4 linked regions of the Tamandua tetradactyla genome follow. The protein of the gene in region 1 binds, or shares a complex with, the protein of each later gene. Links are inferred from orthologs where the notes say so. Each region holds a gene or a part of one and is shown in the gene's direction. Other genes may lie near its edges. The genes, in order: ROPN1L, DYDC1, LRRC23 and NME5.

The links.
Region 2: ROPN1L (region 1) and DYDC1 share a complex: the UniProt entries of both Homo sapiens proteins name them as parts of the axonemal radial spoke complex. The link is inferred for Tamandua tetradactyla from reciprocal best matches to the Homo sapiens genes ROPN1L and DYDC1.
Region 3: ROPN1L (region 1) and LRRC23 share a complex: the UniProt entries of both Homo sapiens proteins name them as parts of the axonemal radial spoke complex. The link is inferred for Tamandua tetradactyla from reciprocal best matches to the Homo sapiens genes ROPN1L and LRRC23.
Region 4: ROPN1L (region 1) and NME5 share a complex: the UniProt entries of both Homo sapiens proteins name them as parts of the axonemal radial spoke complex. The link is inferred for Tamandua tetradactyla from reciprocal best matches to the Homo sapiens genes ROPN1L and NME5.

The regions. Positions count from the first base shown.
Region 1 is NC_135335.1:58,942,365-58,949,852, forward strand, and holds the start of ROPN1L (ropporin-1-like protein), read left to right. Parts: upstream 1-4,254; 5' UTR 4,255-4,386; intron 4,387-4,534; 5' UTR 4,535-4,578; coding exon 4,579-4,709; intron 4,710-7,488. UniProt on the Homo sapiens protein: Functions as part of axonemal radial spoke complexes that play an important part in the motility of sperm and cilia. Important for male fertility.
Region 2 is NC_135339.1:15,513,247-15,521,853, forward strand, and holds the start of DYDC1 (DPY30 domain-containing protein 1), read left to right. Parts: upstream 1-5,111; 5' UTR 5,112-5,282; intron 5,283-8,607. UniProt on the Homo sapiens protein: Functions as part of axonemal radial spoke complexes that play an important part in the motility of sperm and cilia. Plays a crucial role during acrosome biogenesis.
Region 3 is NC_135333.1:69,193,091-69,200,810, forward strand, and holds the start of LRRC23 (leucine-rich repeat-containing protein 23), read left to right. Parts: upstream 1-4,381; 5' UTR 4,382-4,613; intron 4,614-7,720. UniProt on the Homo sapiens protein: Essential for sperm motility and male fertility. Plays an important role in the proper assembly of the third radial spoke (RS3) head and the bridge structure between RS2 and RS3 in the sperm flagella.
Region 4 is NC_135346.1:17,791,137-17,799,450, reverse strand, and holds the start of NME5 (nucleoside diphosphate kinase homolog 5), read left to right. Parts: upstream 1-5,200; 5' UTR 5,201-5,289; intron 5,290-5,297; exon of another isoform or gene 5,298-5,718; 5' UTR 5,719-5,725; coding exon 5,726-5,854; intron 5,855-8,314. Other genes in the region: BRD8 (bromodomain-containing protein 8), read left to right, coding at 1-27, 600-668, 3,768-3,945, 4,504-4,554. UniProt on the Homo sapiens protein: Functions as part of axonemal radial spoke complexes that play an important part in the motility of sperm and cilia. Does not seem to have nucleoside diphosphate kinase (NDPK) activity.

The DNA.
Region 1 (7,488 bases):
CTCCCAGAACTCATTAAGAAGGTGGAAGCAACCCAAGTATCCATCAGCATATGAGCGGAAAAACAAAATGTGCTACATAAGTAAAATGGAATATTACACAGGTTTAAAAAGGGATGAAGTTATGTTATATGCCACTATATGGACGAACCTTGAGGAGATCGTGTTGCTTGAAATAAGACCCAAAGAGGGAGATATTGTATAATACTACTTATATGGAATAGCTAGAATATGCAAACTCAGAAAGGCCAGGTGTGGGGTGGGGAGGAGGAATGGGGAATTAATGCATAAAGGGTATAAGGTTTCTGTTTGAGTTGATGGGAAAGTTCTGATAATGGATGGTGTGAGGGTAGCACAACATTGTGAATGTGATTAATCCCACTCAATTGTATGCTTGGGTTGAGATGGGAAAGTATATGTTGTATATGTATTTCCACAATTTAATAAAAAAGCTATCTAAGGCCACCTTTGCTGGGCCAAGACATATGTCTGTGCAGACTGTGCACATCTCCTTCAGAGTGTGCTTTGCCGTTTGTATTGGCAGCCATGTGAAAGGTGGCCCCTTGTCTAGTTGTGAACTTCCAGAGCCCTGTAACCCTCCACTGGATCACTAGATAACACCTGCCAAGTGCTCTACAGTTCCATCCCTCTCCTGCATCATCAATGTCTCTTTGTTGCCTCATTTCCATCATCATTCAGATATTGCTCTCCTTTCTTCCACTGTAAACAAAATCTTGACCCCACTTTCTCCTCCAACAATTGCTCCATTTCTCTTTGCTTTTAAAAAACTGCCTTCAAAGAGTTAACTGTACTCAATTGTTTCCCATTCATGCTCTCTCATTCTCTTCCCAACCTGTTCCATCCAGGTTTTTGCTCCCACTATTCCACTGGAATTGCTCTTGTAAAGGTCAAAAGTGACTACTACTAAAAGTCTCAGGTCTCAACTTGTCTCATCTGGCACAATTGTTTTCTCTGTCCATCAAACATTTCCCTTGGCTCCCAGGATGCCACACTCTCCAAATTTCCCTCCTACATATTTGGACTGAACTCCTTTGCTAGCTCCATCTTGTCTTGCAACTGTTTTCAAGGCTCTGGGACTTAGTCTGGACCCTCTATCCCATCTATACCCTTGGACTTGGGGCTCTTGCTCAGTTTCATAGCTATAGTGATGAAGTGTACACTGATGACTCCCACATATGTATCCTTGTTCCCTGACCTCTAGACACATCCATCCAGACAACTGCCTACAATCCCATGAACAGGTCCAAAATACAGCTTTTGATCTCCCACCACCCCAAACCTGCTATTTTTCTCAAACTCCATCTCAGTTGGTAAGCAACTGGATGGATTAGAGTTGCTAAGTCAAAAATGGTGGGAACACTCTTGACCCTTCTCTCATACACTCCGTATCCAGTCCGACAGCAAATCTTTTCTCTTAAAAATCAGGAATCTAATTCACACTATCTCCCCTGCTGCCTCTGGGTGCCTAGCTCCATCATCTCCTGCCTGGAATACTGCTATTTTTCCTGTGCTCCCTTGCCTCTGCCCTTGCTTTCTATTCTTTTCTCCATCACTGAGTCCAGAGTGAACCTTAAGACAGAATTCAGATATATTAGTCCTCTACCCAGAATCCTTCAACAGCATAAGCCATTGTGTGTGATGATGATATCACACTCAAAGCCAGAGTCCACAATGGCCTTCAAGTTTGGGCAAGACTTGTGGCTCTTCTTTTTCTCTTCATAACAGCATCAATACCTTCTCCCCGTACCCCCACCCAACAGCCACCATCACACACGCACAACTCTTGCTGTGCTCTAGCCAGCCTTTCTGTCCTCACATTTGGTTGGGCCTCAGGGCCTTTTCACATGCTGTTTGCTGTGCCTGAGTGTTTTTCCTCCGGCTCCTCCAACCGAATTTCTTGACATAAGTGTCATTCTCAGTGAGGCTTATCTAAAATTGCAGCTACTGGAGTCTTCCTGTGTCCCTGTCTCCTGTAGTTTTTTCTTTAATATTATTAAGCATACTATATGGTTTCCTTATCCTGTTTATTTACATTTTTCCCCCTTTAAATGGAAGCTCCAGAGATTTTTTTAAAAAAACTACTTGGACTACTGCTATATTCCCAGAATCTAGTAATAGTCCCTAACATTTATCAGTGCTCAGTAAGTGTTGAGCAAGTAAATAAATGAATGAATTCAGGGGGAAAAAATGGCTAAATGGTTAAAATAAAACCCCATGTCATCAGCGTATTCCATTAATGGTTTACTGTACCCTTGCAGATTTGCTTTATGTAAATAAACATACATTCACAGAATCATTTTATCACAATAAAGGTGTCATGCTAACTGGTAGATTTGTTCTTCAGGAAGTGTTCTTCACTTTGTATGTTAACTGGCATCTGATACCAGTCCATAAATAGCTGCTCCATTTTTAAATTTTGGGTGTATTGTATTCTATTGTGTAGACAGACCATGATTTAAGTTTTCTGAAGACAGTTGTCCCATTTTATTATATTACAAACTATGCTTTAGTAAACATTCTTTTCCATATAACTTTGAACACTCAGGCTAGTATTTCCACAAGATAGTTTCCTAGAAGATTGCTAAGTCATCAAAAGGTTTTATAGTGCCAAATTGTCCCCAAAACACACTAATGACACTCCTATCCAGTGTATAAGAGTCCTTATTTTCCCATACCTTCATCAACGTTGAATATTGATTATTTTCAGTTTTACCAATGTTGTTAACTTGGAAATGTGTTGTGTGATTCATTTGTTGGGATGTGGACCAAAAGGAAAGATCGGACCAACTTCTCAGGTAAAGAGCCATCGTGGGGCTTGATGCAGGGCCACGTTCATACATTGTGGGTGTTAAGGATAGCGGCTGGAGCCAGCCAGGACTCAAACCCTGCATGTGGCCTGGTCAGCACCCATCCGAATAGATCAGAATTACGTCTATGCAAAGCTACTGCAATAGAAGACAGGTGGCTCATTTCCTCCTAGGACCCAGTGTATTAGCTCAACCACCATTTCTTACTTAGGACAAGTTAAATGGAATCAACTTCTCTGTATCTAAACTCCAGGTGGCTTTTTTTTATTATTTTTAAAATATGCTTTTACTTAGTCAAATTTTCAACTTGAAGTTGATTATATTGTCCATTACAGTAATATATTTTCTAATCTTAAGAGTTATAGAAAGAAAATATAATGAGAGACTCTTATTTAGATCTGGGGTAAAAAAAAACAGTAAAAATACATTATTGATTCGTTTAGGAGAATGTGAATATGAAAGGATATTGATATTAAGAATTTTTTTTTTTAACATGGGCAGGCACCGGGAATCAAACCCGGGTCCTCTGACATGGCAGGCGAGCATTCTTGCCTGCTGAGCCACCGTGGCCCACTCAATATTAAGAATTTTTATGAATTGTTGGTTTCAGTGGCCTATAAATTTTTAATTTACTTTCTAATTTATTATGTAGGAAATTTTGGTATTAAAATTACGAATGAGATGTAAATTATTGATAGGAATGCCATCATTCTAGGTTATGTTAAAGAATTCAACTTTATACTCCCTCTAATACCCAGAAAGAGTTTGGAATGGATGATATAACAAGACAACTAAATGTTGAAAACTTTTGAAGCTGATTTTATGGTATAACGAGGTTCATTTTGTTTTCTCTAGTTTTCAGAATGTTTCAAATTTCCATCTTAAAGTTTTTAAGGAAATAAAGTATACTTACATTGCTGGGAATTTTTTTTTTTTACAGTGTTACTTTAAAGCCATTGCTGGTTTCATTTTGATCAAATATATGTGTATTTGGTCCACATATTCATAAGTAAGATTGTATTATAGGTGCTCCTCCAGCCCTATCCAGCTCTTCCAGATCCAGGTCAGTTTTCTCCCTCTTTTCCCAAAAAAAGTGATCACTTGCGTGAAGAGCATCCCCTGGGTAACAGTTCTCAATTCCGGGAAGATTATAATCTACACTTTTGTATAAATGTCCCACCTCGGAGAACCCGAGTCACCTTGCCCCTAAGCCTCGAGTAGCCACAGCAAGGGGAAAAAAGGGACTTTGTGAGTATGCCGCTCACATGTGGCTGTGGAAAATCGATCAAAAGGCCCTTTTCCGCTAGAAATGTGCAACTTCAACAGCTCTAAAGCCCGAGCTAGCGGAGGAAGGACTAGGGAGTCAGACTGGGCAAGCCCACTGCCTGGCCTAGCCGCCTCCTATGTGTGCGCATGCGCGGCGCCCGGACCCGCGCGCGTCCCGGTTGCCTGGATACCGATGCGAAACAATCGCTGCTGCTTGCTGGGGAGGGGCAAGGTCCGGTGTGTCGCTTGCAGGGACCGTTGGGCTTCATTTCCCTAGGATCCGGAGGAAGAGGCGGTAAAGCCCCCCGCCCCGGGACCCCAGCTCAGCCTCAAACCCGGGGGTGTGCGGTGCCTAAGCCCCAATGTGGTCCCGGCGACCGCAGAGCCCCGAAGCTCGGGGAACCGCCCCCCCCCCCTCCTTTCCTGTCCTCTCCTCTCCGCAGCCACCCGTGATTCTTCCCAGGCTGCTTCGTGGTCTTCGGGAGAGATGCCGCTGCCCGACACCATGTTCTGCGCGCAGCAGATCCACATTCCCCCGGAGCTGCCGGATATCCTGAAGCAGTTCACCAAGGCTGCAATCCGCACCCAGCCCGCCGACGTCCTGCAGTGGTCCGCGGGGTAAGCCCCTCGGCCGCGGCCTGCAGCCTCCAGCCCTACTTACGTGCCGGGACACTCAGGGGTCGTGCGTCTCTCGAAAGTACCTTGGCGTGTGACTGCCAATCAGAGCAGAAGTTAGGGTAGAACGCGCGCTTAGCTACAGAGTGACAACTCAGTTGTTGACGAGTGGTGTTTAAGACAACGGACCACAACTTGAAAGTAACTGCATTGGATATAACGTTTCCACCTGATGTTATAAATTCGGACTATCACAGTGTAATAACATGTAATAAAGGGTTCCTCCTTGTAACTTGATTTATGCAAGAAGGAATCCTTGATCTGTTCCCAGTCTCAGAGAATCCTGGTTGAGTTTATTAGAACTAGAATGACTGAGGTCATGGGGTCAACCGCCCGCACCCCACCCCTCCCAGGCTGCGAAGATGCCTCCCTACCGGCAGCTGCACAGGAAGGAAATTTCACAGTTTGTTGCAACAAACATTCTAACCAATTTGCAGTAACAGATATTCATAATCCCAGAGTTTCAGGACAACTGAATCTAGAGCTGTTGAAAGAAATTTGATTTTATGGAAGGGTCCTTGCCCTTTTATTGATAAACATGCTTAGATGAATGGAGGCTCACTTCTATGAGGACATAACTCAAGTCTAAGTATAGATGTAGCTTACTTTTTAGTTTGTCAGATTTTAATGACCTTCTCTGAACTTTCTAGCCAAGATGTAATCGTTTCCCAGAGCTGCTGTAAAAAATTGCCACAAACTTTGTGGCTTAAAACAATGATAATTTATTCTCCTGCAGTTCTGGAGCCCAGAAGTCAAGTCCAAAATTAGTTTCACTGAGCCCAGGCCAACTATTGTCAGGGCTGCGGTCCCTCCAGAGGCTCTAGGGGAGAGCCCCTTCCCTTGCCTCCTCCAGCTTCTATAGCAGCCTTCCTTGGCTCATGGCTTCTTCCTCTGTCTTCAAAGCCAGCAGGATAGCATCTTCATGTGTCCCTCTCTCTCCCTCCTATAGGGGTGTGATGGCTTGTGGGCCTCCTGGATAATCCAGGACAATTTTCCCATCTCAGAGTTCTCAGTCATACTACAAAGTCTCTATTAGCATATAAGGTTCCAGGGGTTCCAGTCTAGATATCTTTGGGGTCCACTATTCAGCTGCCCATACAAGGCTACTACTAGGTAATACAGTGCTTTGCCTTCTGAAAGGGTCCTTCAAGGTTCGTATCTGCCCCCCCCCTAAAAAATAGTGGCATCTGGTTTTAACTGTTAGTCAAGCCCAAATAAAAGATTGTTAGGACTTAGATTTGATTTCCATTCTATAGAAAATTTCAAGATTTAGTAAAGTTTTTTCCTGGAACATTAAAGAATATTTGGTAATATTTTATAGACAACTATTTAAAGCTTCACTTTTTGGGGGGGGGGGGAGGGGTATGCTTACAAATGAGAAATGTGTTGTTTTGCAGTTCCAGAGGCTGGAAGCTCAAAAGCAAGGTGTTGGCAAGGCCATGCTCCCTCTAAAGTCTGCAGGGTTCTGGAAGTGACTTGCTGGCAATTCAAGGCATTCTTTGGCATGCTACATAACTCAACTCTGCCTCTGCCACATGGCTGCCTTCTCTCTCTGTCTGTGTCCAAAGGTCTTTTCCTAGTAAGGACACCAGTCGTTGGATTTGGGCCCATTCCAATCCATTTTAGCCTCATCTTAATGATTCACAAAGACCCTATTTCCACATAGGATCACATTCATGGGACCAGGGATTAGAACTTGAAACCAGCTTTTGGGGGGACACAATTCAATCCACAATGAGGAAGTTACAGTCAAGGTGCATATAATGCACGTGTGATCTCATTAATGCGAGAAACTAATTGGTGTTATAAATCATAGATATGCAGCTGTCTCTGTGTTGGTAAATTGTCCCCAGCATTTTTTCACTCCTGGAGAGTCTAAACTTCACTTTTAACTTAAAAGGTTAAACTGAGAACTTTCTGAATGTTCCTTCCTTGCCATTCCTTTTTCTCAGGAACAATTTTAGAGTTTTAGAGTGAAACCAAGCATTAGTCATTAAGCAACACATTAATAACTCAAGTTAAGGTGGAAAGTGGTCAGCGTATATTAAAGGGTCATGGGATTCAGAAGTGGGTGATTGTGTCTGTGAGAAATTCTGAAAGAGACTGAGGCTAAGGCAGGGCGGTGCGGTATTGTAGGATGGGAAAACAGCATCTGGATAAGGGGAGGGTGAGAGGGAACTGTAACAATGAAAACAAAAAACAAGAACTGGATTAGGCCTCTTTCTACAGGTGGTGAAGGCATCAGAGGTGAGTGAGCCTTTATCCCAAGCCTGTCTGCTGTGCTGTGATGGAACAGTTGGTCCACTGTCCCTTATGATGTCATCACATAGCACAATGGAGGCTTGATCTGGGCGAGTGTCAAAGGCAGCTTTGGCTCACTTGTGCCTGGAGAGGACAAGCAGAGTGTAACACAAGTCAGCTTCCCCTTTAAATCAGGGTTTCCCACATTAGGCCCTTGAAAACCCTTTGGTTGGGGGAAGGGGCTTTTGTGTGCATTGCAGGCTGCAGGGCAGCATCCAGGCTTCCATCTAGAGGTGCCAGGAGCACCCTCCACCGCAGTTGTGACCATCAAAGATGTCTCCAGGCATGGTTAAATGCCCCTGGGTGGGATGAAGACAAAATGGCTCGCTCTGGAGATCCCGTGCTCTAAGTGCACTCGGAACTGGGTGACTGATGGGTTGTGCAGAATAAAATCAACATGGTGGAAACCCTCCTGGGAGCA
Region 2 (8,607 bases), on another chromosome or scaffold:
TGAAAAGCAACTTTCTTTTGATTTAATTTATTTAGAAAATGTCCAGACTTGCAAAATAAACCTATTATTTGTTTAAAGGAAGGCTGAGCATTTTAGTATAACTATAAATAAACCTGTTATATTTTCACGCCTTTGAAAAAGTGGACTTCAGAAACCTTATAATATTAACATTGCTTACACCAAAGCTAGTGAATTGTACACACTGCACCAAAGATTTTAATGCACAGGATATAGTGAGTATTTTAAAAGGTATTAGAAATCAGGTCTAACATTGCCACTAAGTCAGTTCTGTATTCAGGTATTATTGTTCCTTGTGCAGGATGCATAAAATGACAGAAATCATTGTTCAGGAGATTGTAGCAAAAATTGTGGGAGATAAAAGATATGCTTGTCTGACTGATGTATCCACAGTTGTTCCAATTATTACAAGTTTTTATGTCCACTATTATAGCAAAATAGAGGAGGTGTCTGTGGCTGATGCATAAGTAAATTGCAAATAATAAAATATTATAATATACCTGAGGTATATACTAACAACAGCCATTATTTTGTTTTTGAAAAATACTGAGTAATTTTTGAAAAGGGCTCAAAGGAACTTGTATGAAAATACATTTGTTCCAGGTGAAGTATTAGATTTTTTAAAAATCTGAGTTTTTAAACTAGTAACACCAAAGGCATTTCCTAATATTCAAGATGAATTGCCTTTTAAAATTTCTTTTTCCATAGATGGGGATTGTCACTAAGATTGATGAATATTTAAAAATTTGAATATGGAGGAAAAGGTAGGCTACTAGGAGCCTCAATGTGCTCTGTGTTGTGGCTGGGTGATTTGTGGATTTCCTGGTGCTCATCTGTTGTGGTCTATGTATACTCCATGCTGAGTTCCTCCTTCCTACCTTAACACTTACCGATGATTTAATAATACAGACTTCTGGCTTATTAACCAGTCAAGAAATATCCTTGCAGTAGTGGTAAGGCCAGTGCTTGCCTGACCAGACAACTGGCACCATCACCTGGCCAGGTTGACACCTAAACTTAACTATTACAGGCCCCAAACAATCTTTGCATGTTGAATAAACCAAGAAACTCTCCAGGCCAGCTCCAGAATTACTTTGGAGAAAGCTAGAAAGCCCCTCCCAATGAAGACCCAGTATATATACACACCTCTTCTTTTGCCTTGGAGGTTTTCCTATAATGATAAAGCCAGTGAGCCAGGTACTCTATTGGGTCGCTGGGCCGAACCTTAGCCACCTCAGCCAGTGCCTGGGCTAGGCAATTTCCAAAGCACCTCTTTAGGTAGTCAGTTTCCATCCTGGGGGTCTGGGAAACATGAAGGCAGAGTCATATTATTTTAGACATCCAATCTGATTTTTTTAAATGTACATATTCTAACCAATTCAGATTCATTTCAGGATAAATATGAGATATTTCTGAATTCATTCTCTCTCTCTCAAAAAAAAAAAAACCCAAATACATTATTGCCAACTGTTCTTACATCCTCCAGTTGTCCTAAGCCAGAAATAGGTCCTGGGGGTCATCAGGTGGTTAGATTGGTGCTTAAGTATTCAGCAAGCCTCCACTTACTCCCACACGTCTACCCTTGGCAAGGAGGACATAACTGACCATGCAGGAAATCCCCTGGGAGGGGCTCTGAGCACCCAGCGAGTTATGGTATTGTGAGGTTGGCGCTCATGGTTATTTACGAAATAGATAAAACAAATTTATTTATTTTACAGGAAACCCATAAGAAGCCTTGGGGAGGAAAAGGAGGGAAAATGAACAAGCACCACCGCCACTGGGGGACAGGCATCCTGCTTGTATACAACACAATATTCCACTTCCTATTGCTTAGATTGGGTTGATGACCCTGGATTTATTATTAATCAGAGTCCTAGAGCTGGAGGCAGTATAGCCCAAATTGTATCATCTCTTAGGATCACCAGTAGCAGAATGGCATGGTAACGTTAGGGTAGCAGTATGAATGCAGGCTGCAGATTCAAACAGACCAAATTCCAGTTCCGGTTCTGCCACTTACCAGCTGTGTGATCTCTCTAGCAAGTCACTCAGCCTCTCTGAGCCTCAGTTTTCTTATCTATAACAGAAATAACATAAATATGTACCCCATAATTGTGAGGATTAGAAGAGATAATAAATGAAAGGCACTTAGCACAGCGCTTGGCATGTAGCATTTAATAAATATTACCTATTACAGTGGGAGATTGTGACAAGAACTGGCCTAGCTCCTAATCTGTTCCTAACTCAAATTCCTGAAATGTACATATTTTAACTCCAAAAAAGCACAGTAAATATTACAGGCTTAGATCCAGTCCTAATGTTTTTTGGAGGTGTTTTTTTGTCTTGTATAAAACTGTCAATGCTGGTTTTGTTGTTCATTTTTCAGATTAAAGATGGAAAGATATGGATGTAGTAAAGAAATATACTTCCTAACTTTCTCCACTGCAAGGGCCTAGTAGCAAAAAACTAGCACCAATAAGCACTCCTAGTACCCAGCTTTTGTATTTAAATCATCTTCTTACTTAAAAGGAATTTGGGCTCTTTGGAGAAATAGCTGATTTCCAAGGCTTGGGCAAGAAGGATCCAATGAGTCTGAAATATTTTGCTGTGCCAAATAGTAAGAACATGCTAAAAATAAAATGGTTGGAAACACAGAAGCCAGCAGGAAGCAGTTCTAACCAGTCAAATCTAGGTGAATTTGACCATTAAAATAAATAATAATGGCAATGGATTATAACTCACTGAACAAAATAAGAATCCATTTGAGAATAAGTAGTGAATGAATGAATGGGGAAGAAGGGAAAGGTCTTCCTTAAAGCAGAACACCAATTAATAAATGTGGAAAGAATAATGGAGTTAAAATCACTATTTCATAACCATCACAGTGTACATGAATCAAATCAGAATTTCAGTGGGTGCCAAAACTCGGCGAATATTCGATAAGAAATAAGCTATTTCAATAGTGTTAAAGCTCCTCTTTTCAGATGAAGAAATAATTCCAAATGGAAATGTAGAAAGTTTATAGTGGTGAAACCTGATCGACACAACCTTAACCCAGGGATCGAAGTATTGAATTATATATCACCAAAAAGGGACAAACTGGCATCACAGCCCTCCTGAAGTGATGTCCTGAAAGGTACATAATACATTTTGGTGGATTCCTGCCCATAAATGGAAGAATTTAATGGAGGAAACACCAAACAAAACCAAATTGAGAAACAGTCTATAACTGAGCTGCACTCTTAAAAATATGAAGACAAAAAAAAGATGAAGAGCCATTGCAGCTTAAAGGAGACTAAACAGGAATAACAACACATGATCATGAATTGGATGTGGACCAAAAAAATGAATTCTACAAAGGACATTTTTAAAAAAAATTGGATACATGTGAATATGAATTTTAGATTAGATAACAGAATTGCGTCTAGGTTAAATTTCCCACTTTTGTTCACTGAAATAAGAATAAAGAAGAGAATGTCTTTTTTCTTAAGAAAAATACAGTGTGGTAGACTGAATAATAGCCCACCAACAATGTGCACACACTAATACCTGAAACTTGTGAATATGTTACTTTATAAGGCAAAAGGACTTTGCAGTTATGATTATGTTAGGGACCTTGAGATGGGAAGCTAACCCTGGATCACCCAGGTGGGCTCAATGTAATTTCAAGGATCTGGTAAGAGGAATGAAATAGAAATTCCTTCCTTCCTTCAGACAGAAGGAAGAAGGAAATGTAAATATGGAGGCAGAGGGGAAAAAACGCTATGCAATATCTGGCTATGAGCCAAGGAATTTGGGGGAGGAGGGGGCAGGAAAGAAATGCCAGAAGCTGGCAAAGGAAATGGATTCTCCCACAGAGCCCCCATTAAAAACCAAGCCCTGTCCACCCCCTCGTTTTTACCCTGTAAGATTCACCTGGGCCTTCAGACCTCCAGCTCTGGAAGAGAATACATGTGTGTGCTTTAAGCCACTAAGTTTTGGTAATGTGGAAGGTGGAGACAGGGCAGGTTGGTGTCCCCCTCTGCCAGTCTGTGGCCCACCTGGACCAAGGCGCCTGGATGAACAATCTCCTACACCTCGTTTACTCCAAGTGTCATCTGAGAACCAGCAGAACTGCATCACTCACTGAAATACAGATGTTCAAGTTTCACCCAGACCTACAGATTCAGAATCCATACTTTAATAAGATCCCCAGGTGATTTGTAGGCACAATCTTCCCAGAGGGCAGAATCACTAGTTCTGCATTTCTAAGAAGCCTCTCCACTCCCCAGTCATTGGTCAGCGGCCTCCCTGCCTAGGTGAGGCAAACCCTATAAGGAAAAAGCACCTGCTCAACATTGCACATTTTCAACATGATCCCAATAACCTTCCGGTTACTAAGACTGTTGCAAAAACAGTAGAGCCAGAAGAATGACAGCCACCGGGTGAGGCCTGGAAAGGGAGGCGCCAAAAAAATGTGCTCCCCTAGAGTCTGCTCACACGGTCCTCTTTGTACCTTCTGGCAAGGGGCAGGACCAGGAGGGCCGGGATTTGCCTCTGCCTGAGCCGCTTGTGAAAGGAGCCAAACGGAGGTGGCCGGGAAGTGCAAAGGTACTGAGACCTAAGGCCATTGAGCCATCGAGTTTGCAATGACCTCTGGCCCAGGGGACCTCGGGACCTCCTTGCACTTCACTGACCCTCCGGCGAATCCGCCGCTCGTTCTTCTCTGGCAGTGAAGGTCCGCTCGCTACCTGGGCACTTGTCTTGGCCGCCTCTTCCTCCCTACCTCTAAGCCTCTGGCCATCGCGGCTTGCATCCGCGCCTCTCGGCCACGCGCTCTCCACCCTCTCCAGTGCTTCCCCGCGGCCCTCCCACCCTCGCGCTCTCCTCCCCTCACGCCCGTGTTTTGCTCACCCAGCTGCCAGGTCCCTCCTCTTTTGCCGGGCACCTCGGCTGACACCTGAGTCGAGGGCGCGCTGCTCACCCTGCGTCGCGCGCACTCCTCCTTGCCGCGCGCCCCCTAGCCCTCGCGCGCGCTCTCGGCTCACCCTCTCGCGCCCCTTCCTCTCTGCCCCCGGCCTCCTCCGGCACCTAAGGCGCGTGCGTGAATTCGTTCCTTAGCGACGGGACGCGACTCGAGATTGCGCTTGGGCGTCGGTCTGCACCGGGCGCGAGCACGGAGAACGCAGGCGCAGTTTTGGAGTGTCGCACATGTTGCTTCCCAGGGTTCGAGTGAGACAGGCGGCGCTGGCAGTTGGGTTTTACGAGTGGCGTAGAGCTCGTCAGTGGTGAGCCGCGTCGCACCTGGCCCCTTTTGCGACCCGGGGGTTGTTGGAAACCGAGCCAAAGCGCCCCGGGGCGAGGATTGACAGATATTTACTAAATCTGGCGTTGCTACCCGCATCTCCCTTCCCACTTGGCTAAACCCCGAGCGTGATCCGGGGGTCATCTTCTGTCTCTTGTGGCAGCGTCGCTGGACTTGAGACAGCTGTTTCTGTGGGAAGGGACTTTCTTCAGTTGAGTCAAGATGTGGCATTTGGTGTATTTGAAAAATAACATGCCTTACAACAACCTTGGTTGATGGATACTGTGGCCATTTTGCGCACGGGAAACGTTTGCCAAGCGAGTTGAGCCTGCCCAGGTCTCACTGCTGGTGGGACTTGGGCCCACACTTAGACCAAAGGCTCCTCCCTTATTTTATTTTATTTTGTTTTTTCTTGCATGGGCAGGCACGGGGAAAACGAACCTAGGTCTCCCGCATGGCAAGTGAGAATTCTGCCACTGAGCCACTGTCGCACGCCTCCTCCCTTAGGTTTTAAGACTAAGTATATGGACACAAACACGTTCCTTTCTCATTCCTGTTTCCTATACAAAAGATGACATACTGTAAACACTTTTGCATGTCACAATAGTCCCGTTGTCTAAAATAGTCCTATCTTAGAGAGTTTCCTAATGTTTTACATCTGTATAATATAATTCCTTGTGTTGCTACCAATCCCCTACTGGTAAACATTTGATAGTTTCCGGTCTTTGTTTTAAATAATGGTGCAAGTTAACTTTGTGCATCTGTCATTTCACATTTTTGTGAATGTATCTTTGCGATAGGATCCCAGAGGTGAGATTGCTGGGTCAAAGGGTAAACACTTATGTAATTGCTCTGACTATTGCCAGTATTCCCCCTCTATGCTGTTTTGCTCTCCCACCAACATTATATGAGAGAATGGAAATACTGGGGTCTGTGGATGGACCTCCAGATGAATTTTTTGTAAAATGTTAGATGCATTTGTCTAGGGACAGGGCCTAGACACATTGACCTTCTTCCCCTACAGCTGTCGTGGTTGGTCACCGTCCAGGCGCTTTCTCATACCTGGAAGGCTCTTCCTTTCCTTCTCTGCCTCTTTTTTTCAAAAAATATTTTTATTTATAAAACAACATACAAACATGCAAACATTCTTAACGTAGAAACATTCCATACATGGTGAACAATCAGTGGCTCACAATATCATCACATAGTTATGTATTCATCACCATGATCATTTTTTTGAACATTTGTATCACTCCAGAAAAAGAAATAAAAAAGGAAAAACTCATACATACCATACTCCTCACCCCTCCCTCTCATTGACCTCTAGTATTTCCATCTACCCAATTGATTTTAACCTTTGTTTCTCCTATTATTTGTTTCTTTTTTATCCATATTTTTTTTTCTTTTTTTTTTTTTTTTTTTAAAGGAAAGACAGAGAGAAGGAAGGAAGGATAGAAGGAAGGAAGAGAGGAAGAAAGGGAAACCTCTTTTAAACATTTTCTTGTTTTATTGTATTTTGTTTCTCCGTTTTCGTTACATGGGCTGGGGCCGGGAATCGAACCGAGGTCCTCCGGCATAGCAGGCAAGCACTTTGCCCGCTGAGCCACCGCGGCCCGCCCTATCCATATTTTTTACTCATCTGTCCATACCCTTGATAAAAGGAGCATCAGACACAAAGTTTTCACAATCACACAGTCACATTGTAAATATTATATCATTATTCAATCATCTTTAAGAAACAAGGCTACTGGAACAGTTCTACAGCTTCAGGTACTACCCTCCAGCCACTCCAATATACCATAAACTAAAAAGGGGATAGCTATATAATGTGTAAGAATAACCTCTAGACTCTGTTTGAAATCTCTCAGCCACTGACATTTTATTTTGTCTCACTTTTCTCTTCTCCCTTTCGGTCAAGAAGTTTTTTCTCATTCCAGTATTTCTGTCCCATGTTGCCAGGGAGATTTACACCCCTGGAAGTCATTTCCCACGTAGAGGGGTAGGGCAATTAGTTCATTGCCATGTTGGCTTAGAGAGAGAGAGAGAGGCCACATCTGAGCAATAAAAGAGGTTCTCTGGGAGTGACTCTTAGGCCTAATGTTAGGTAGTATTAGCTTATCCTTTGCAGGAATAGTTTCATAGGGGTGACCCCCAGGATCGAAGGCTTGGCCTATTGATTTGGTTGTCCCCACTGCTAGCTAGAATATCAGAGAATCTCCAAATGGGGAGGTTGAATTTTTGTCCCCTTTCTCTCCATTCCCCCAAGGGGACTTTGCAAGTACTTCTTTGTTCACTGTCCAAATCTCTCTGTGGTTTATCAGGGCATCACACTAACCTAGAGAAATCAACAAGATTGCATGCCCTTTTCAAGATTCCATGTACTTATGATGTTAACTAAACTGACCAAACAATTTAAATTAGGAATTGCACAACCCAAAATATAAATTTTGCACCAAATAAATATCTCTCCCTTGAGTCTCACACAAAAGTTGAAGTTTTAAAACATGGATGATATCGTCCTTTACCCAGTCTTCTGTTATACCTTAGTCCTATTCCAAATAAGCTTCATTCATATCTCTACTTGATGTCTAATCACTTTTCCAACTTTTTAAACAGTTCCTGTATGGGGTACTACTGACTTTCATAGCTCCAGAGCTCTAACTCTGAGTCTCAGGTGTCACATAAATACCCAAAGTTTCTGGGAAAGACCATGTTATATACAAACAGCTCAGTATCTCAGAATTTAGAATTATGCCTTGTTGATTTTTAAATATTTCTTCATATCTTAGCTCAAATGTGACACCTTGGGAAAGTTTTCCTTCTACTTTTCCAACTTGATTAAATTCCCCTATTACCAGGTCTCCATTGCACTTACTACAATGTCAATTTTACATTTATTAGTTGACATATTTGATTAATATCTGTCTTCCCTACTCATCCGTAAATTCTATGAGGACGAATACTGTCTCTGGGGTTCCCGGTGCTTATCAAAGTGCCTGACATAAAATAGGTGCTCTGTGTATAATTGTTGAATAATGAATACATTTCTTGAAATTTTCAGAGGGATCTACATCCCATAAAACATTTAAGAGTAAGGTGAGGATGGTCAGTTCTTTCAAAGTACCCATCATATAGTGGCTGCTACTTTTTTTTTTCTTTAAAAAAAAAAAAGTCTGCTCAAAGCTGATTTTTGTTCATCATCATAACTGAATAGTGCAGGGCATTCCTGGAAGAGTAGAGAAACTCATTCACTTACCCCCATGGAAAGCCAGCTGTGTCAAAGCTATGATGAAAGCACACTCCTTGAG
Region 3 (7,720 bases), on another chromosome or scaffold:
AGTGAAGGTAACCTCTTGTTGGTGCCTTAATTTGGACACTTTCACTTCCTCAGAACTGTAAACTTGTAACTTATTAAATTCCCCTTTTTAAAAGCTGTTCCAGTTCTGGAATATCACATTCTATCAGCTTCCAAACTAATACACCATCTATTAGGTAACAACATGTGTTAATTTTATGTTAAAAAATAGACATTTGGAAGAATGGATTCAATGATATACAGAATATAATTTTGTGATGATTTAATTAAAGAAAAGGAAAGCTGTGAACCCTGAACCGTGTACCCTTATCAACCATCTATCCTGGATATACTTGCCAGTGTATAAAAATAATAATAATGCCACCATGATTGTGGATACAGGCCTATGATGAATAATAAGTAAAGGACCCTTGTAGAACCCAAATGGTAGAAGGCATGGGGTACAGAGAGGGAGAGTAAACCTCAACTGGCTCTGATTTAGCTTGAGAAATTGCCCAGGCTCAGCTACTTCTGGTTGTTTAAAATATGATATTCAACAGTTGTTGCACTGAATCTTGAGCTGCTCAAATACATGCTGATAATTACACATATATTCCATAATGCTACAAGTAATTCTAACATTTAATCTTCTTTATCAACATGTAACATAAAAAGTACACTCATCTTAAATTGCTCAATGAAGTTATTACATGTGTATACATTTGTGGACTACCACCCAAAAGATCAATATAAAGAACATTTCCAGCATTCTAGAGAACTCCTTCTTGCCAGATAAACTCCCACAGGTAACTTTGTTTGACCTCTATCACTGCTTAGTTTTGTCTGTTCTTCCATTTCATATAAATGAAACCATATAGTACGTACTCTTTTGTGTCTGACTTTTCTCAACATTATGTCTGTGAGATTTTGTTGAATGTAACAGTGGCTTGTTATTTCCATTATTGGACAATTCCATTGTGTATTAATACCACAGTTTATTCTACTGATAGGCATTTGGGTTTTTTCCAGTTTTTAGTTATTATGCAGAAAGATACTATGTCCATTATAGTGCAAGTTCTTTTGTGGACCTAGGCACTCATTTTTGTTGCAGACGTGCTAGTTCATAGGAAATTACAAATGTATAGATTTAGCCACAGGTGATTTTCAGGTTTTTCTCCATGTGGGATTTTATTAAGAATTTAAATCCTTCAGGTATTTTGCAGCATGGACTACTTCAGCAAATTTATGATGATTTCAACTTCTTGCCTCTTCGTATTCATCATCTTTATCTTATCAGTTCCTCAAACTTCTTATTAGCATTTCTCTGTGGTTCTTAAGAAGTTCTTCAATTTATTCCTCAAAGATTTCCATAAAGCCACCATGATCCACTTCCTAGGCCACTTCAGCAATGAGTTTCACTTCTTTTCCACAGAAAATCCTTAAATTCTAAACTCATTGTTGCCAACCTACACTGAATGATTCAGATTTCATTGCTTCCATTGTCTGTTTAATATAAATTTTGCAACTGGCAATATGGAAGGACTTCCAAATCAACGTCACATTAAAATGAGTCAGCATACATGGCTCTGGGAATCAAGGAGCAATCTCAGCCTCATATATGTGTCTTTGAAATAGCAAATCATGCTTAGATTAGCAGACAGAGGGTGCGGTGATACTGTGGGGAGGAAGAAGACTTCAATGTTGTTAGTACACAACGGAGTACCTCAGGGTGAAGCTATTTGTGGTCAGCCATGCTAAAGCCAAGTCTTTCTCTTTGAGGTCCTGCTTGACTTCTAGAATGAACAACTGTGGAACTAATCAGGAAAAGTGCTGCTATCACCCCAAGACTTTGCATTTGATTGTTGGGCACCAACAGATTTTTTAGGGAGTGGGACTCAAGGATTTGTAGCGCTATAGAATATGTCTGGCATTATTAAATACATTACATTGCCACTATAAGAGGGGGACAGATGGAAAGGAGAGAAAGGAGCAGAGATAAAGTCATTAACTGCCTTCAAACAGGGCCTTGTGTTTCTAGTTTGGAAATCTAAATGCAGTTTCCTCCCAGAAAATACCTGTCTCATCATATTCCACAAGATAGCCCTTTTCGCTGGTAATACTTTTTTTAAATCATTGATTCTACTCAAGGAGCAAGTGTGTTACAGTGAAATGTATAGCAACTTTTATTATTTTGGAATATTTTTATTCAGGGAAAAGACTCTTGTGGACTTCAGTAAATATTTGTCTGTGGTTCTTCGGGATATTGGTTGGGAATTTTTTAATTGCTACATGTGCCAAGACAAACGCACTTGTCACCCCATTGGCTTATAGTTTGAAAACTTGAATCAAATAGGAATATCAGAATGTTTTCCATGATCCAAAATAATTTTCACATCAGTTTTTGCCTCAGTTGTTGTCTCATTGATTTTTTGATGTATCTTAAGCACTTTATTCAAATCACATGAAGGCTAAAAACTTTTTGTTATAATATAGTATCAGATTAAACATTTTCCTAACTTCATCTTTCTTTCGGCCTATTCTGTTTCTCTTGGTTATTTTTTTTTCAACAATTTTACCTCTGAGTGTGTGGACTTTTTTTTTAATTTAAGAAAACAATTTATTTAGAACCCCCAACAATGGATATCTTAGCTTAACCACAGGCATATTTAAATAAATCATTGTAAAGCCTGTGTTTGCGCTGTAAGTTTCATAAAGCAATTTAAAATTAAGGCAACAAGGAAAAAAATCTGCAAATTCAGACGGCAGAGTTCTTACATTCTAAATATTAAACACAAACTTAGATACCACTGAATCAGCTGTTAAAACTGTGAATGTTCTCAAAATATCACGTAGAAAGTTCTTGCAAATATCTACATTGTTATAGTAATGGCCTATGTTACTCAATATTTTCCTGATTTCAGGAAAATGTGAAGCTACAAATATTTTTATAATGAACATATGGAAATCTCAACCACCTGAAATTGTTATCTTAAGTTAGCTTAGCCATAGGCATTAAGCTTATCCATAGGCCTTTTAAGAATTAAGAAATTTTACTTGATTATCGATACATTACATTATAAAAATATCTGCTTCTGTCTCCCACCCACATTAATATGGATAATGGGGTGGCTGGTACTCAAATATTCTAAACAGGCTCTGTTAATAGTTATGTGTGTATTCCTATTTTATAGAAAGTTGGCAATTAGTTGCTTTTAAAAAATTTTAAATTTACTTTTTTAATTAGAGAAGTTGTGGGTTTACCAATAATTTTTAAAAGTATCTTTGGATGGGTTTTGCTGCCTGTTCCTGCACAGACACAGCCTCACAATTTGCATATTTTTTGAGGTTGAAGTGGTTTCTGAAACTATTAAGCCATCTTTGGCTGGTTTTGAAATCCTTACATCCGAATGCCCTGTTCCCTGGCAATAAGTTTGAACTTTGACTTCAGAATGAGAGCTTTACTTTCTTTTTTTCGTTTTTTTTTTTTTTTTTTTTTTGCTATGTATTGCCTGTTAGACACGTTTCTGGTTCATGTCCTCTAACTGTAAGTTTAGTGCCTTTTCTGACTTCAAGTACTTATCACACCCACTTTGCTGTCACCTTAGCAACTGTAGCAACGTTCTGATGATCTAGCTTCACAAATTTCTTGAATGTTGATTACACATGCAGATTCTTGACGCCATATTTATGTGGCTAATATCAGAAACGGACACACCACCCTCCCTCAGAAAAACAGTTTTTCTCCCAGCATTTACAAAGATCCGATTTGACTGGACTGCCTCTAAACGGGTCATGTTATATGGAAAGGAGATATATTAAAACAACAGAATCGTAGCCCTGCAAGGTATCTACACTGAAGAAACCCAGGAGAACAGGGCCCAAAGAAACAACATAGTCCATTCTTCCATCTCACGCTCATGTGATGTTGGTTGGCCACCCTGTGTCCTATTTAAACGAGTATTGCTGATATCGAGTTAAATATGTCATGAAACTCACAGTATCTCATTTAACTCTACAAAAATGATATGTCAATTTCAACAGATTCACAGACTGAGGCTTACAGAGATTAAACAGCTGGTCCACAGAGCTGGTAATTAGCAGCATCAACAATCAAACATAGAGGTGGGCCATGGTGGCTCAGCAGGCAAGAACGCTTGCCTGCCACGCCAGAGGATCCGGGATTGATTCCCGGTGCCTGCCCATGTTTAAAATAAAAAAAAAAGAATCAAACATAGGAATACTGACTACCAAGCCCACGGGTGGCGAGAAAATGGCGACAGCGTCTGTAGAAAATATGGCCTAGGAGGCCGCGCTGCCACCCTGCGCAGGCGTATAACCTTCAGGTTCCTTAACCATTGCAAAGCACGCGGCAGGCAGCACGCTGACTCACGCCGGCCCATTGTCACGTGAGCGGTCACGTTGGGGGGCGGGGCGGCTGCGCAGCGTGCCCTGCGAACCCACCACCGGCGCCTTGGTAAAGGCGACTCCACCCATCCTCGTCCGCCGGCCTTGTGATCTCGGAATGAAGGAGGAGCCGGCAACCCCCGCCCCGCCAACCTACTCCCTGGCACCCGCATTGGCGTCTGGAACGTTCTGCGCCGGAACAAAGGACTCTGAGTGGAGGCAGGGTCTCTGGCTGAAAGCCCATCCTTAAAGGCAAGGAGGAACTAGGGTTTCCTGCACTAGGGTAACTTTCCCAAGCCATCAACCCCCAGATGGGTCCCAGGACCAAATAAATCCTGTGTCGAGGGGCCAGCTTTTCCAGAATAGCAACTAGTTCCATCCCCTTATTCCATATTAAGGACACTTCTTCCAGGGTGAAAAAGTTAAAATGGGTATGGCCCAAATACCCCTAAAGAGTGGGAGAAAGAAAGATCAAAGGTGATGGTGGAGTTTTACAGAGAAGGTCGGGTTTAACAAATGAGTATGGGTGCTGAATCATTATACTGATATTTCTTTTAGCCTCCAGTACCTTACAGTAGCTAGAAATAAAAACCTAAAATTGTGGAATTGTAACCTATACCACACTCTGTTCAACTGATTGCTGTGCTGTACTTTGAAATTTATTGCTCTTCTGTGTATGTTATTTAAAGAGAAGGAGGAGTATAACTGAAAAGATAGGATTTAACAAATGAGTATGACAGCTGAATCATTATTGTTAGACACTGGGTAGCTAAAGGATTCCACATGAAACAGTGAGTTAAAGCTTAACAGTTTATTGAGAATTAGAGAAACAGATTGAGAGCAAAGGGAAAACAGGCAGGTGGGAGCCAGCAAAACCTACTACCGAAAGGAAAGGAAAAATGACTCCAACTTTCTGACAGCTTGTGGTTTTAAAGGAAAAACCGTGCCAAGAGGGGTTGGGGGTGCACAGGCATCGCTGGGAGATATCAGGCTGGTGCAGATCATGACTTCACACTTACGGTTATCTGGTCTGGCTTCTGGCAGGTGGGGTGTTGGCACGTTTGTCCTCACTGCTGAGGGAGAGAAACTGAAGGGACCCCCGTGTTACAGAATCCATTTTGTATATTAAGTTTTATTTTCTGATACCTGACAATTATATTAATATTTCTGTTGGTCTCCAGTCTTGGATCAGCTAGAAGCAAAAATGAAAAATCGAGGAACTGTTACCCTTACCAAACTTTAAAATTTCTTGTATAATATTTGTTAAAATATACTTAGAAATTTATTGCTTTTTTGGATATATATAATTTTTCACGATTAAAAAAAGTTAAAAAAGAGGGTGAGGGGGCCTCTAGTTTTTGGGAGGGCGGTGGGCCACAGAAGGGAGTGGAAGGGACAGAAGGCTTGGGCAAATCATATAATTAAGCCTCAACCTCCACCACCCCCGGCCTCGAGTTTCTTTACATATAGGGTTAGATTCCACTATCCCTCAGACAGGTTTCCTTGTTTCCCCATCATCTGTGTACTTCCTGCTATAATGTTAGTTTTGTCTTGGTAGTCTCTACAGGCAGACAATCATTTTCTTTACCCTGGACGAGGGAGATTGGAAGTAAGAGACACCCAGGTTATGTTAGAAACTGTGCATTGTAAGTGAGCAAACCTATTATGCTAACCACTCCCTCTTAAACTGACTACCCCACCTGGATTAGTCAGAGTTGTCATAAATCTTCCTTGCTAAATCTAATGCCCTCTTATTTATCCTTGCTGCTTTTATTTCAACGTTTTCTAGTTTTCAATATCCCACAGAGCCTTGTTACTTAAAGTGTGGTCCGTGGACAAGCAGCATGGATGTCTTCTGAGAATTTCATAATTTATATTTTAGTGAGATTCTCGGACAATTCCTATGCACTTTAAATTTTGAGAAGTAATCCTCCAGAGTACTTACTAGAAGAACAAAAATATACCTTTAAGAATTTTTATTGCCACATTATTTATAATGTTAATTTTTTAAAAAGTCAATACCTATCAACGGGGAATAGAAAAATTACAATATATCCACATAATGGAAGACAACTATAACAAAGAAAGGAGGTAGATCTATGTTTAGTGATATGAAAGATGTCCAGGTTGTACTATTGGATGAAAAAATCCGGTCGATGAACAGTCTGCATGATTGATAGCCCTTTTGTTTCTTAATTAAGCAATGTAGATTGAGTCCTTGTCAACTAAGCACAAAATAAGACTTTCAAAGGCTCCCGACAGCTTTCAAGATAAAGTCCAGATTCTTGAGTGTGATCCATCTCCATTTGCTGCTCCTGCCTCATACTGCCCCCCCATCCCCCCTTCCAACGCGCCCTCCCCCCACCCAGCACTCCTTCCACCTCCCCTGCACCTGCTGTCCTAGGTGGCAGAACCACCTGTTCTCCTTGCACTAGGCAATGGCCTCTCTCTCGCGTCTAGACCTTCACACAGGTGCTTCCTCTGTCTGGAATTTCTGCCCCCTTCACCTGGCAGTTCTTGGTTCCGCCTCTGGAATGGCTTGGTTTTCCTGACCCTGCACTAGATCAGTTGTACACCCTTTATCCCCCACAAAGTTCCATATTCAAATTCATCTGTAAAGTGAGAATTATAGCTCCTACTTCATTGTTTTGTGAGGAATATGGGTAATATGTATATACACATACTATAAAATTATCCCTTGGCACTTATTAAAAGATCACTAAATGTTGGGTATCATTATTATAGCATCTGTCTCTTGTTTACTTAACCCTCTCAATGGCCTGTAAACCCTCTGAAGATAAAGTTTTTTATTGTCCTTGAGCACCCACCATTTAGAGTCTGGTGCAGAGTAAACTCTTAACAAGAGTATATTAATTGATACTTCCCTAGTCCCTAGGCCACACCTTTTCCTCCCACCTAAAGTGTATTCTTTTTTTTTCAGGCCAAGGAAAATCACATCCTTTCCCTTTGAGTACAGCAAACCACACCACATAGGGTTTTCCCTTCTCTGCACTCTAACAATGCAATAATTTTCCTTCAGTAGGACTTCTGGCTCTTTAGGGTGCTTTCATATTCTTTCTCTTTTCTCACAACAACCTCAATAATGAAGAAACTGAGGCAAGGGATGGGGAGGGGCAGAGAATTGTTTAGGGAGCATCTACTAAAGTTAAGGCAATTTACCCCACATTATCTGTTTTCACTCCAACAATCCCTTGAGGTGGCCATTTTTAGCCCCACTTCACAAAAGTGGAAATTAAACTTCAGTAAAATTATATAACCTGCTGAAGAACACAGCTGTTAAGTGGTAGAGCTTAACATTGAACCCATTAAATGAACCCATTAAGTAAACCCATTTTCTC
Region 4 (8,314 bases), on another chromosome or scaffold:
GGTCTGGAAGATGATTGCCAGTCACAGGTAGGTGTCCAAAGTAGTGATCGGGTTGAATTCAGAAGTGAAGAAGTGATATATATTAGGGATTAAACATAAAGAGAGAAATATCTCCTCACATGAGCCATAGTTAAAAGGCAGATCTTGTGTATAAACCTGTTTTATCCGTAGTTACTCATAGCTCCTTTTGCTGTCTACAAAAAGTATTCCTGTTTCCTTTGATTTGTATCTCTAAACTGTTTCCTATTACGTGGCAAAATTTATATTTAAAAGATATGCCTTCTTCCAGTACCGTGGATTGTCTTTTTTCCCCAGGAATAGGGCCTCAGGGACCTTGAACAAATTTCTGAGCCCTAAATCAGTATGTTAGAATAGTGGTTGAATATTTTGATTTTTTAAAAATTTATTTCTGTTAAACAAGTCTTAACTCATAGATTTCTTTCTTAATGGAGCTCATAGTCTGCATTTCTGTAAAGGAAGTCTATTAAGAAGTAAACCACACTTTATTTTAAGTGTTTTGTCTTAGAGTTTGCAGCCACTATTTTCATCTAGAGTGACTTCCCAGGGTTTCCTTATCTTTCTGGATTTGTCTTTACCAGGTTCAGCAGTCCATTTCTGAAGCCTGTGTCAGATAGGCAGGCCCCTGGGTACAAGGATGTGGTGAAAAGGTCAGTGGAAAAGGGGTCAAGAAAGGTTGGTTGCTTTTTTATCTGTCTTTTTATTCTTTCTCATCTATTAGATTATTATTTGCTTCATTTACATTACTTACAAACTCAACATTATATTTTTCAGCTGAAGAAGTTTGTAAAGTTATGGTGAACTCATTATTTTCATGTGAGAAGGAACTCAAGAAACAAAAGGATAACATGTATTTTTTAACATTGACTTTGAAGTAATAGGATTCATATATTGTTATATAACCTCACATTAGCATTTTTTGTTCCCCTTATTATTTATTTTATTCCTTATGTTTTACTCATCTGTGCATAAGGTAGATAAAAGAAGCATCAAACACAAGTTTTTTGTGTATCATTATACAATCATCTTCAAGAAACATGACTACTAGAACACAGCTCTACGTTTTCAGGCAGTTCCCTCCAGCCTCTCTGTTATGCCTTAACTAAAAAGATAATATCTATTTAATGCGTAAGAATAACCTCCAGGATAACCTCCTGACTCTGTTTGGAATCTCTCCGCCATTGACACTTTATTTTGCCTCATTTCTCTCTTCCCCCTTTCGGTCAAGAAGGTTTTCTCAATCCCTTGATGCTGAGTCCCAGCTCATTCTAGGAATTCTGTCCCACGTTGCCAGGAAGGTCCACACCCCTGGGAGTCATGTCCATGTAGAGAAGGGGAGGGCAGTGAGTTTGCTTGTCACTTTGGCTGAGAGAGAGAGGCCACATCAGAGCAATAAAAGAAGTTCTTTTGAGGTTGACTCTTTGGCCCAATTTTAAGTAGGCTTAGCCTATCCTTTGCGGGGTTAAGTTTCATATGAACAAACCCCAAGATTTGGGAGCTCAGCCTATTGCTTTAGTTGTCCCCACTGCTTGTGAGACTATCAAGAATTCTCCACTTGGGGAGGTTGAATTTTCCCCCTTTCTCACCATTCCCCCAAGGGAACTTTGCAAATACTTTTTTATTCACTGTTTAAATCACTCTGGGGTTTATTGGGGGCATCACTCTGGACAAACCTACAAAATCTTATGCCCTACTCAAGGTTCCATGTGCTATGGTTTTTTTAAAACCATTTTTAAGTGTATAATTTAATAGTAGTTAGTTACATTCATCATGTTGTGCAACCATTACCGCTACAACTAAAACTTTTTCATCACCCCAAACAGAAACTCTGTACTCATTAAGCAATTACTCACCAGTCTTCCCTCCCCCTAACCCTGGTAAACTCTAATATACTTTTTGTCTCTCTGAATTTCCCTGTTCTAGATATTTCATATAAATGGTATTCTACAATAGTTATCTATTTATGCCTGGATATTCATCCATTTGTGTCTGGCTTATTTCATTTACAAATGTTTTCAAGGTTCGTCTTTGTTTTTGACATTGTACTTTTGAAGCAAAACTTTGGAAAGGAAAGTTGCGATCAGGCATTTAGCTTTGCGGTATGCTAAATGCAAGGATGGTAATCCAAATGAGTGTTACAAACATTGATTATAGTATTTTAGATTTTTCCAGCATAGTTCATCTAAATACTGTCATAACCAGTGTTCTAGTTTGCTAGCTGCCAGAATGCAATGTACCAGAAAACGGCTTTTAAAAGGGGAATTTAATAAGTTGCTAGTTTACAGTTCTAAGGCCGAGAAAATGTCCCGATTAAACAAGTCTGTGGAAATGTCCAACCTAAGGCATCCAAGGAAAGATACCTTGGTTGAAGAAGGCCGATGAAGTTCAGGGTTTCTTTCTCAAGTGAGAAGGCACATGGTGAACGCAGTCAGGGTTTCTCTCTCACCTGGAAGGGCACATGGCAAACATGGTGTCATCTGCTAGCTTTCTCTCCTGGCTTCGGATTTCATGAAGCTCCCAGGAGGCGTTTTCCTTCTTCATCTCTAAAGGTCGCTGGCTCATGGACTCTCTGCTTCGTGGTGCTGCAGCATTCACTGCTCTCCCTGAATCTCCTCCATTCTCCAAAATGTTTCCTCTTTTATAGGACTCCAGAAACTTATCAAGACCTACCCAAATGGATATAGACATGTCATCACCTAACCCAATTTAACAACCACTCTTGATTAAATCACATCTCCAGGGAGATGTTCTAATTACAGTTTCAAACATACAGTGCTGAATAGGGATTAGAAGAAACGACTGCCTTTACAAAATGGGATTAGGATTAAAACATGGCTTTTCTAGGGGGCACACATCCTTTCAAACCAGCACAACCAGTGTATTAACAGAATGTTCAAAGATCAGGAAGGGACTTTCGCAGGCAAATTCTTTCATTTTCTAAATGAGGAAACTGAGATTCAGAGGTGGTCATGACTTGCCTATGATCAACCAATAGGTTATAGCAGAGCTAGAACTAAATCCCAGATTCTATTTTTTTTGGGGGGGAGACTCCTTAATGTTTATATGTACCTCCATTCAGGCATATTTTATTCATAGTGACCCCCTTATTTTCAATAATGCATATTTTAATCTCCTTTAACATTGAAAAAAATCTTTTCCGAACAGAAGAATGCCCATTTGTAAATACCAGACAGTTGCCTCCCAGTTCAATCTCTACACTGCTGTTCCTACTCATATACCCCCACTCTCTGGGTCTCATTAAATAATAATTTGATTTGTCTTATTATTCACTTGATTCTCACCTTTGTTCTCCATGAAAGGAGAACTGACTGACCTTTGAAGATCTTTGCAATATTTTACCTCGGCGCTATCCTATTACAATAGTAGAATATAGTGGCTGGGCCTTAGGGCTCTGGAGTCAACTTCTTTTATTAGAATCTAGGCTGGCTCGCTTTGCGCAAGGACTTAATCTTGTTAGATCTCAATTTCACCATCTAAAGGGGGGATAATAATACTTTATAGGCTTACTGAGAGAATTAAGTGCGTCAGTATGCAAAGTGCCTAGCATAATGATTAGCCTGTTGTAAGCAATCAAATGTTAGCTGCTGTTGCTAGTTTATTTTGTGATGGGAGTTGTTATTTTTATTATTTTCATTGAGAAGAGGTTATTCTCCAAGAGAGTATGTTAATGTCACCACATGTTCTACATGAAGGTTTGATTTCCCTTGATTTCTTTTGGTCACTTGCAGACCCATGGACTTAACTAGCCTGAAGAGGAATCTATCTAAGGGACGGATTCGCACCATGGCCCAGTTCCAGCGGGACCTGATGCTGATGTTCCAAAATGCTGTGATGTACAATGACTCTGACCATCATGTGTACCACATGGCTGTGGAGATGCAGCGAGAAGTCTTGGAGCAGATTCAGGTACTTTTTTGTAGAGAGCTGTGAAAAAGAATTTTTTTACATCTGGAATTTGATTTCAGGAAATCTGTGAGAATAAGTGTGCTATTGAGGTAAACTTGTGTTCCGAGAGTTTATCTTTAGGGGTTATTGAAGGTCTTAAAGGATTGACACTGTACCTACTGGCTGTATCCCTTAGCCTCTGTAGAGAGTGAAGTGAAATAGCCTGGAAAGGCAGGCAGCAGTAAAGAGCTCTCAAAAAGCTGGGGATAGACAAATAATGGGAGCTGTACTTCGAGAGCCTCAGGTCAGAGGGCTGAATATGCAAAGCAGATTCCGGAGTCACTAACCATTCTTTTGTTTGCTACACCTGTTGATACTAATGTACTTTCACACTATCACATCTTTAGCGGATAAGATATAATAACCAGAAATAAACATTTAATGGTTCCTTTTCTGGAAGGCATAATACTTTAAAGAGGAAAGTGTAATCAAATTTATGTGCAGAAGAAGAAATAATATTGCATTTAAATTTCTGTAATTTTTAAGATCCACATTTTGCTATCTGTCTTGACTCTTTAGGTGCTGAGTATTTGGTTAGACAAAAGAAGAGACTTAAATAGTCTGGAGTGAGAATTGTCCAACCTTGTGGATGATGAAAAACCTATTTTGTTACCCTGGAACTGCTACCCTGACCTTTTCTGGAGTTTGGACCTCTCCTTGAGATTCTGATCCTGAGAAGATTTCAGTACTTGTTTACCACGTTTCTGTTGCATTTTCTAAAATAGTAATGCCCCAGTTTACTACCAAGGAGAAGAAGAGGGAAGCTGAGATTGTGTTTATGCCACAAATGTAGCCCTACATCTTTGTTCCTTAGGTTTAATTTAGAGGTAACTTGATTAAACCTATTACTGAGCTATAAATAAATGTTATTTCGCAAACCACAAATTGCTTTTTTAATCGTTACAGAAGCTAGGGATAGAGGAGACAGCATGATTTGATCAAATGAGGATGGGATTTGACAAGGATTTTTTTGCGTTTGTTGTCTGGAAGGGATGAGGGGGGAGTGTCTGATTTTTCTTCTCATTCGTAAAGTGGGAATGAAGCATCCTCCTATAGAGAAGAGGATGAAATAAGATAAATTATGAGGAGATATAAAACAAACAAAAAACAATAGCGTCTAGCGCTCTAAGATTCGCAGGGGGAATAAAATCATTTGTAGTTGGCTCCCTTTCTTGGTTAAAAGGAAGCGGTAGAAGGGCACAAAGCGCTCTGCTGAGATTGACCCTCTGCAGCCACCATCCCTGAACTGGGGCTTCAGGTCTCCTAGCAACAAGCTGTGGTCGCAGTGGAGGGGAGGGTACTGCGGTGAGTGCTGGCATTGGGGTGGACTTGGAATCTGCGGGAGCACCCGAAGAATCCCAGAGGACCCGGGGGTCCTGCTCTCCAACCAGGCTTGGTCCTATATGTGTGGTCTTCTATAAGAGGTGTAGTTGTTCTAAGGCAACCCGTCCCCGAAGCCTACGGGATTCCCCTTTCCTTTGGTCCTGTGAGCCCCTCTATCTTTCCTATCTTGGTGGAAGTGCTTACGAAAACCCAAAGCGTGACCTGGACACAGGACAGAAATCGTGATCAGTGAGACACTGCTTATAGAAAAATATGTGACAGTTTCTAATTTCTTAAATTAGTAATATCAAGCATCTATTATTGCGGTTATTAATCAGAATTACATTAAATTGGGAGGGTACGTGTCATTGCAGTTGATACCTGTCAAGAAACTTAAATTGTACTCTGAAGGGACAGAATGGAGATATCAATGCCCCCACCTCAGATATATGTAGAAAAGACTCTGGCCATTATCAAACCAGACGTTGTTGACAAAGAAGAGGAAATAGAAGATATCATTCTCGGGTCTGGATTCACCATTGTTCAGGTAACTTCTAGGCACCATGATCATGCTTTTTTTCTTTTTGCTCCTTTATTTAAATGTGTATGTGAATGTGTTACTCCATTTAGATTTTTAGTATATAGCATTAAATTTAGGTTTATTCTTTTGAGGATAAAAGTAGTATGTGATAGTTATGAAAATGTTATATACCTCGAAAAGATATAAAATGAGAAGAAAAATGATCTCTTCCTTCACCTGTCTTCTCCCACTCCAAGTCCTCGAATCCATAGGCAACTACTGTTAACGCTGTCTGTTGTTCTAGGAGTTTTCTATGTATTTACAAACATTTTTTCCCATAAAATATAATAGTTCCCCTCCCTTGACCTCCTTTACAAAGTCTCTCTGGTAGCATTCCACAGTGTACATCTGCATCTATCTCATTCTTCCTAACTTCTGTGTAACATTCCCCTGTATGGATAAGTCACAGTTTATGTATTTATGTTCTACAGATGGACTTTTAGGTCATTGGTGTGTTTTCAGTATTGTAAACATTTAATGTTTTAAGCCTCATATTTGTTCTGCTTTTGGTAAATATTGTGATTATAGAGGCTTGAGAATGAATATAAAAAGAATATTTTAAAAGCTTATCAAATATGAGGGGTGCAAGAGTAATTCAGTGGTAGAATTCTCACCTGCCATGTGAGAGACCCAGGTTTTTGCACTTCCCCCAAAACAAACAAACAAGCAAAACAAACAAACAAACAAAAATTCAACAAATGGTGCTGCAATAACAGGATACTCACATAGCAAAATAATAAAATGTGACCCTGTCATACAGCATACGAAAAAAAAAAGCTTATCAAATACAGTTGAAAAAGTTTTTACCCTTTCTTTACCATCCTTATTTAAATTTCCAGTTTTTTAATTCTCTTATATTTATACAGGGTCATGCGCCTAGTTAATAAAATTACACTGAGATTCTATTTGGCAAAAATCTAAAAATAAAAGGCACAACCCCTTTTGAAGGGAAACTGGCAGTTATCTACCAGTATTACTGATGCATTTACCGTTTAACTCAGCAGTCTTACTCCTGGGAATGCCTCCTATAGAAACTCCTATAGTAACATAAATGGTATATATTTATATATATATATATATACAGATTATTTTTTACAACATTGGTTATTTACCAGCAAAATATTGCACAAAACTCTGCAGTAGGAGATTGGTTTAATAAACCCTGATGAATTCACTAAATTGAATACTGTGCAACTAACTGTAAAAAGAAGAATGAGGAACTTCTCTGTGTACTGTTATGGAAAAAAGCAAGCTGCAAAACAGCATGTGGCAACCTTTTGTGAAGGAAAGGCGGAAAAGGAATGTATATTCACATTTGCCAATATTTGCAAAATTATTAATATTATTATTATTATTTTTTTTAGGCCACATCTGAGCAACAAAAGAGGCTCTCTTGGGGTTGGCTCTTAGGCCTAAATTTTAAGTAGGCTTAACCTTTGTGGGGTTAAATTTCATATGAACAAACCCCAAGACTGGGGGCTCAGCCTATAGCTTTGGTTGTCCACACTGCTTGTGAGAATATCAAGAATTCAACTTGGCGAAGTTGAATTTTCCCCCGTTCTCACTATTCCCCAAAGGGGACTTTGCAAATACTTTTCCACTCACTGATGAAATCACTCTGGGATTCATCGGGACATCAAAATTAAAAAGTGGGAGCTAAATGAACTTAAAAAAATGGCTACCTATTGAGGGCAAGGAAGAACAGGATGGATTGGGACAGGGATGGGATTGAGATTTTTCAGGATATACCTTTTTTATATTGCTTTCATTTTTTGAAACTTTTAATACCCATTGATTTTTTAATCATAGAAAAAAATAAGCATATAAATAAGATAAAGATACACCTTTCAGTTCAAAAAAATTTATAAGTCCATATTTTAAAATGAGAATTAATGAAAATTGTTAATAATTAAGTAGCTAATTATAAATCAGTATAACTACTCATATTTAATACTTTCTCTTGTCAGCAATAAATTTCAGACTATCGAAGCCATGGTGTGTCAGATGCTTTAAAATAGGCTTTACTGTAGTTGGGAGTCTATTGAACTTGAGGCTTTCTTGTCCCATGCTGGGAAAGCCTTCTGAAAAATTATATATCCTTTCAGTTGGTGCCTGTGTTTCCTTTGTTACAAACTGAGGGTTCCATTCTTGAAAGTATTTTATCACCACTTCTCTTTGTAAAAATATTCAACCTAGTTCCAAAACTTTTTCCCTGATATGAATTTTAAATTAACTAATGGAATCATTGATTCAGTTTCAACTTTAAAGTCAAATCCTTGATTTTTAAGATTATGCTGTATTAGTTAGGATATCTGAAGAAAGTAGCTTCTTCTACTTGTAGTATGGGCATGATGTAGATAAAGCCTTACATTGCCACAGGTGAGATTTTATTTTTAAACCTCTCAAGGGAAAAAACTACCCATATGC